2 linked regions of the Callithrix jacchus genome follow. The protein of the gene in region 2 purifies or fractionates together with the protein of the main gene of each other region. This does not show direct contact. Links are inferred from orthologs where the notes say so. Each region holds a gene or a part of one and is shown on either strand. Other genes may lie near its edges.

Evidence for each region.
Region 1: the proteins of OSBPL8 (region 2) and GLG1 purify together in Homo sapiens (co-immunoprecipitation; 3 studies listed by BioGRID and IntAct, with this or other methods). This does not show direct contact. The link is inferred for Callithrix jacchus from reciprocal best matches to the Homo sapiens genes OSBPL8 and GLG1.

The regions. Positions count from the first base shown.
Region 1 is NC_133521.1:31,788,341-31,792,165, forward strand, and holds part of GLG1 (Golgi apparatus protein 1), read right to left. Parts: intron 2,003-3,825; coding exon 1,879-2,002; intron 1,161-1,878; coding exon 1,018-1,160; intron 771-1,017; coding exon 669-770; intron 1-668. UniProt on the Homo sapiens protein: Binds fibroblast growth factor and E-selectin (cell-adhesion lectin on endothelial cells mediating the binding of neutrophils).
Region 2 is NC_133510.1:78,981,637-78,985,461, reverse strand, and holds part of OSBPL8 (oxysterol-binding protein-related protein 8), read left to right. Parts: coding exon 1-68; intron 69-659; coding exon 660-792; 3' UTR 793-3,825. UniProt on the Homo sapiens protein: Lipid transporter involved in lipid countertransport between the endoplasmic reticulum and the plasma membrane: specifically exchanges phosphatidylserine with phosphatidylinositol 4-phosphate (PI4P), delivering phosphatidylserine to the plasma membrane in exchange for PI4P, which is degraded by the SAC1/SACM1L phosphatase in the endoplasmic reticulum.

The sequences.
Region 1 (3,825 bases), on a different chromosome or scaffold from region 2:
ATTCCAAGGATGGGCACTCCCTTACAGCCATTATAGAAGTGCCTTTTTTTTTTTTTTGGAGACAGAGTCTTGCTCTGTTGCTGGGGTGCAGTGGTGTCATCTCAGCTCACTGTAACCTCCACCTCCTGGGTTCAAGTGGTGTCCTGCCTCAGTTTCCCAAGAAGCTAGTATTACAGGTGTGTAACACCACGCCAGGCTAATTTTGTATTTTTAGTAGACATGAAGTTTCACCGTGTTGGCCAGGCTGTTCTCAAACTCCTGACCTGAAGTGATCTACCCGTCTCAGTCTCCCAAAGTACTGGATTACAGGCATGAGCCACTGTGCCCAGCTGGAAGTACTTTTATCTTTTTGGGAAGTCTTGGGGTATTCTGAGTTGACCATACAGAATAAGGAGAAGGGAAGAACAAATTTACAAGGAAAACTATAATGAAAGAATACCCTCATTCAATAGAGAAATATGCAACCAATGCTGTACAGTGTCAGGACTAACACCAAATAGAATTCAGTGTTACAGAGAACAGGAACGCAGACCATGGAGAGCCTAGAAGACAGCCTTCAATTCATCACAGATTATTCAGGACTGAAGGGAAAGAAAGCAAACAACTTTTCTCCAGTGAAAACTTCTCTGAGTGGCTCCGTGTGCAACCAACTTTGCAACAAATCCCACCTCGTCTGAGCAGTGCAGCTGCAGCTGAGGATCCAGGCGGTAGTCCAGGGCGGACTCCTGGATAATGATCCGGATCTGGTCTTCGCAGTCTGATGACAGGCGCTGCTTGTGACAAAGGGAGGATACATTGGCTGATCAGAAAATGCAAAAGCAGGACACGAGAAAAATAAAATAAAAAGAAGAAGAAAAAAAAGTCTGCTTCTGATCTGGCCCCTTAGCCCCACCGGCTTGGGGAAGATATGAAAAAGGTTTTTGGAAAACCAGAACAAGCTAGGGATTTCAAAAGAGAAAATTCCCAGGGATAGAGGCTCCATAAATATACCTTTGTAGAGAGCCCAGGCCAGTTTACCTGGTCAGCATATCTCAGCTTGAGGCAGGAGATGACTTGTCCTTCTAATTCTGAATCATCCTTGGCTTTAGTCAGGATACCGTGACAGAATTTAGGAATGTCAGCTTTACAGGCTTTTCTTAGCATGGGGTTTAAGCGGTAATCTAGAGCAGAAAGCAGAGAGTGGGTGACAAATATTCCACCTTGGATTCACACATTTTTAGATATCCACCTTCCTAAAGGGAGCATATTATGTCAATGACCATGACTACAACCATGAATCTGTCTATTCAATAAACATTTACTGAGTTCTCACTACACTGTTTTTAATCACAATATGATTTAGTTAATGAGTACTTCTGGAGGTCCTCAGGAATCTTTCTACTCTGAGGGGTTTCACGGGGATTCCAACAGTCTAAGGTAAGGAGTCCTCAGAAAAATCAAGCAGACATCAGCAACCTTCTCCGTAACAGATATTTTTGAGAATACTTAGAAGGAAATACAATATCCAACTCACTGTGCCCACGAAGTTACAAAGTCTTCCAACTCAGAGTTGAAATGTCTCTGTTCCGAACTAGGTTACCCATACATTCTCCTGCCACACTCATCAAGTTTTATTGAATTTCTAGATTTCTCCTTCCAAGGAATGCTGGCCCTGATTTCTTCTGAACGTTCTTGAAGGGCAGTTTTCTGGTTCTTCTGGCCTCCTCTCTCCCCTGACTCTCCCTCCGTTTTTCTGGATGCTCCTCAGAAAAGGAAGTCTCCTGCTTACACTCAGACTCCTCCCTTCAAATTCCCAGGAGTTTGATCAGGTCACGCTACAGCCACTGAATTCCTTTTAAGATACTCAACGGGGCCAGGAGAGCCAAGCCAAGCTCTTACCTGTGTTCTGGGTGATTTGGCGCTTGGTTATCATTTGTTTGCATTTGGGATCCATCAATTCACTGTTTTTATTTTGCTTCAAGCACTGCAACATGGTTTTAGAATCTGCTTCTGGACAGAACCTCTGCAAAGAAAACAGTTTTATAAAAACAGCTATCCAAATACGGCAATTAACTCATCTGCAACCGCTTTTTTAGGGGGGAGACAGAGTCTTGCTTTGTCATCTAGGCTGGAGTGCAGTGGCGCGATCTTGGCTCACTGAAACCTCCACCTCCTGGGTTCAGGTGATTCTCCTGCCTCAGCCTCCCGAGTAGCTGGGATTACAGGTGTGTGTCACCACCCCCAGCTAATTTTTCTATTTTTTTTTTTTTTTAGTAGAAATGGGGTTTTACCATATTGGCCAGGCTGGTCTTGAACTACTGACTTCAGGTGATCTGCCTGCCTCTGCCACCCAAAGTGCTGGGATATAGTCGTGAGCCACCATTTCCTTGCCACTTTTTTTTTTTTAAAGGATGATCAAGTGCAGCAACATAGGTGTAGAAGGAACAAATAAATCTGTACTGGCTGTGCTCAATTAGTTGTAAACACCACTGCACTTGGACTAGCCTGTGATCACCCATAACGTCTATCAGAAAGCTGATGAAAGCAGCAGCCTGAAGGTGTCGTATGGTACAAGAGGAGCAGCTAAGCCTGAACAAGCATTCTCTACTGTATTTCTCACATTTCTTTTCACTACCTCACTGGTTCTTACTTTGGCATGGGACTGGTTTCCTATCTAGAAGGCGATGTTAAGTTAAATGACATCTCAGGAACCTACTTATTATTTAAGCATGAATGTAACACTGTACCAGGTGGCTGTGTAGCCCTCAAGCCCTATCCACCCAAGTCCTGTGGGAAAACCTAGGAATTCTCCACTAACCAATATGAATAAGGATGTGGGGTAAGGACTCACTGGTTCATTTTAACTAAAGGGCTATAATCCTACCAAGCAGTAAAGAACTAGGGCCCTGTACACTTACTGCTGTCCATTAAATCAGAGATTAGTTTTGGACTAGTAATAAACTCCATCTCTGTTCTGCAAATCCACAAGTCTTCAAGTGTCACAGTGTCTGATACACCCTAGTTGAGACAATTGAGCATTGAGCCTCTCTTCCTGGTTCTGTTTCTAGTTCTCTAAAACATGTGATTATAATCTGCTGACATCTTGTTACGGGGACAGGGATTGCTCACTGACTTTTAGAAAATCTTACAAAGCGCTCTCAGATCAGAGCCTGACATTTCCATATGACTCAATTTCAACAGGCCAGTTAAAAAGATTTACATTGTAAATTCCAAATTCTCTCTGGATGTTATTTGATAGTGTAAAAAGTAGCATTTTAATTTAAAGGAAAGCTGAAATAAAGGAGCTAGAACCTTGAGTTTAAATTAATTTTTTTTTTTTATTTTTTGAGACAGAATGTTGCTCTGTTGCTCATGCTGGAGTGCAGCAGTGCGATCTCAGCTCACTGCAGCTGCAGCCTCAACCTCCGGGGTTCAAGTGATTCTCCTGCCTCAGCCTCCTGAGTAGCTAGGACTACAGGTACGCACTACCACACCAGGCTAATTTTTGTATTTTTAGTTGAGACGGGGTTTCACCATGTTGGCCAGGCTGCTCTCTAACTCCTGAGCTCAGGTGATTCTCCCGCCTTGGCCTCCCAAAGTGCTGAGATTATGGGCGTGAGCCACCTTGCCCATCTGAACCTTGAGTTGAGTCTCCTTATGTGTGTGGCTAGATCAAGGAACTGACATCTAGGTAATCAGCTCAGCCCTGATGCAGAGAACATCTGGTGAAGGAGGGAATGAAGCAAAACAATCTGTAGAACAGAAAAATCTGAGTGTGGCAGATGGATGATCAGAACACTAGATGGTCACTTTCTCAGTATAGCTACCTGGAGTTGTCCTCAAAAC
Region 2 (3,825 bases):
GGAATAGAACTGGGAGACATTCAGAGTTCCATCGAATCTATAAAACAAACACAGGAAGAAATTAAAAGGTAATAATATACTGACAGTGACTATTCATTTGAGACCAAGGAGTAGTTAAGAATCCGGTTATGTGGGAAACCATATGCAGACTTCAATTTTTATAACATTTAGCTAAGCTAAAATAGAATGTTAGTCTCTATCACCTGATGTTTGACACTTAGGAAATTCCTCTAGCACTAAAATACTCAGAAAGGAAGGAGAGGTTGTTTTTTTCTGAGGGTGGAATTGGAATCACTTTATTTTACTGCTGTAGCATGCTAGGAATGTAGCTGGGTTGCATGTGGAGGTGGAGTTGTTTCTGAGAAAGTCAGTTAACAAAGGCCTCTGCAGTCCCCTCTGTGCATGACTAATATTTCATTGGAATGTATCAGCTGAAATATGGAAATACATCCATAACAGTGGGTAAATATTCACTCTCTGAGACCTGTAAGTATTCCTCTTTGCAGTCCCAGACCCTTCCCCCTATATGCCACCCCACGACCCAGCAATTAAAAATTATTAACATTAAATGCTCTGTGACTGTTTAATATCAAATTCTGGTTTCTATGCTAACATTTCTGGCAAATCATTATTAAATTCGTTGTTGCTTATTTTTGTAGAAATATTATGGCTCTTCGAAATCATTTAGTTTCAAGCACACCTGCCACGGATTATTTTCTGCAACAAAAAGACTACTTCATCATTTTCCTCCTGATTCTGCTTCAAGTCATAATAAACTTCATGTTCAAATAGTTCTCTACCATTGAATCAGTGAACTAGAAAGATCTGATTTGGCCTGGGACCATTGTTCAAGTTGGTTTGGTCTTTATTAAAAATCACAATATTTCTAAAAAAATAAAAATAAAAAAAAAACCTAGTAGATAAATGTAGAGGTATTGACTTTTCGTATCTTTTATCTTCACACTGAAACAAGAGCTATCCTATTTGATTATTAAAGTGAGCTATGTGTTAAGTGCCAGGACATTTCTAGCTTTTGTGAGAATGTGTCTACATGTGAGTATAATAAACCCACATGTATACACAATTGTCTCTTAAGTACTCTTACCTTACAGTAATCTTCGTATTCTATAGTATGTTCTGAGATGTAATGTTAACATTGTTCATAACAAAAAATGCTATAATCTTATAAATACATGTAATCTATTTTCTTCATAAAACAGGCACAAAACTTTTATCAGTAAGGAATTACAGATTGAGAAATGATGGAATAATAGACATAATTAGTTCAATGCAGTACTGCTAAAATCATTTGCAAAGCACTCAGCTGAGTTATCTTCTTAGAAAGAAAAAGTATGAATGGTCAAAATGAATATATTGAAAGAGATAAATGGCAAATTGTTTTTTTTAAAGTTTACACAAGATTTTTTTTAACCCCCAGAATTTAATATATAGAGATTGAGGTAAATATATATACTTATGTGTATATCAGTATAAAAACACTGGTGTGCAACTACTTGGATTGATTATAATACCACCTTAAGCACTTGCAGAAAAAAGTGTTGTCAAAATTGATTGCTGTCCTTTTTTCTTACTTTTGTTTTTCTTAGGTCATCTGGTTCATAACATAGGCCAAATTCTAGAGATGTTTATAGGGCATTTGAAGTGCTGGTAATTCATGTTTTCTCATTATGAAAACTTATTTTAGCTTTAGACCCTAGTGTGTTCAGTGAGTAAGTAGAATACAAAAGATTATAACCAATATTTTACTTCAAAAGCCAAAAAGAGAAAGTCAGTAAGAAAAGACACTGTGTGGTGGCACGTATGTGTACATTAAGATTGGTTTCTGTAAAACACGCAATAAGTTGAGTATCTATGAAGACTATCAAGTTCTGAAGTTTAATTTTTTATTATCCCCCTCTATTTTTAGTAACTTCTTTCTGTGGCAAAACCACAATTCTTTGAGAATTCTATTATTCAGGCTAAGAAAAACTTAAGTTTTTTTGTTTCTTCAGTTTAATATTTTCACTTTGTATTTTTATATAAATATTTATATTCCATGAGAACAGTTTTTGCCAAGGTAGTTAAGTTTAGGAATATGTTGTTCTCAAATATGTCTTAGAATCCTGAAAGTATAGATTTTGAATTTTTTTTTAATAATAATGAATGTCAGAGAGAATAATTGCCCTGACCACATTTGCCTTTCAGTAGGAGGTGGCTGTGAAATAGTAAAATTATAATCAGTTGTTTATGCCATGATAAATACAAGGGCTGATTGCTAAATTATGAAAATCAAAATGATTATAAAAAGAGCCTGCTTTTTTCCCTAACCAGTGTAGCTATCTTAAGTATTCTTAGGTTTCTGTGAAGAACCATTTCCCATGTTTTGTTGGCACAGTAATTCTGTCTTCTATATGTACATGTGAATTGATGTTTTAAATTGATAAAAGCATAAATAAGACCAACCTATACCCATTATTTTCATGACATTAGAACTAATGGATTTTTGGTTATATTTCATATTTGTCAATGTAATTTTTGTATTCACATTCTGTTACATTCTGCCTATTCATTGATATATGATATTCTGTAAATATTGTACAACTTGATCTTTTTTATGCTTTAAATTAGTTAATTACATGTAACTTGATTGGCTTATCACAAAAATGATTTCATCATTAAACCTTGATAACACTTTTTATTGGTGACCCACCTCTTAGGACTTTGGTCTTATCCACGTGTATGTTGTTTTCATTTGGTACAAATAATATTTCATCTGTATGGGTATCATCTAAGACTAAACAGGTGGTTGTTTTCTTTATTTTTAAAATTTCTTTTTAGAGCAAATGTTATGGGTTCTTACCCAAAGAGTCAAAACTATTTCTTAAGAAAGAGCAGGGTTATTCATGACTGTTTCTTGTACACTAAAAGCATACATCTAATCTAATAGTCCTCTTACGCTTTTAGTTGTATGAGTTTCTTTCTATGAACTGAACACAAAACTCAGGAATTGGTGGCTTAATTTTAGATCAGTGCTTGTACTAGGCTTAGTTATACGAATCTTTAAAACACGTAATTACTAACTTTGTAGCCATAATATGTAATTGACTTTGAATGTTATTTACCTGAAATTAATCTTCCTTCACACCTGAATTCATAATGTGATTTACAGTTCCTAGTTGTCTGAGAGCCTCATGAGGGTTTCTAGGACTTAGTACTTTATGACCAGTTTTTTTCATTTATCAAAATTTTATTTTCTTACATGAAAACTTAATTGAGTAATAATTATTCACATGTGCATTTTATTCATAGCTGTTAAATGTCCCATGCCATCATTAACCATTTAGTAAGATGTAGCTGGCCCAGGACACGTAAAAGAAAACAGTAAATAGGGCATGTGAAATGTTAAGTTACAGCAATAGATATTTCGCTTGTATTTCATTGTTTTGTATCACTTAGGTACAGTGTACTCTTGGTCACAGCTCAGTTGGCAACTACGTTCCATTGAAAAGTAGGCCTTGTAAAATACAATTTTCATTTAATATTCATACTGTTGTGCCTTTAAGAAATATGTTTTGTCATTTTTGTGTTACAGAACTAATATGATTCAAGGTGTTTATAGACTTAGTTGTCATAAAAGCGTCATTTCTGTGTCACTTTATTTTTTTTTATATAGCTATAGTATATTTAAACAATAATGCTATCTTTTATAAGGGTTTGTCTATTTACCTATTCTTTACTCAGACATTGATGTAGACTTGTCAGATTATTCTGAATATTGTTAACAGTGCCTTTTCGATGGAATTCACACTTTTTTGGCTGTCAACT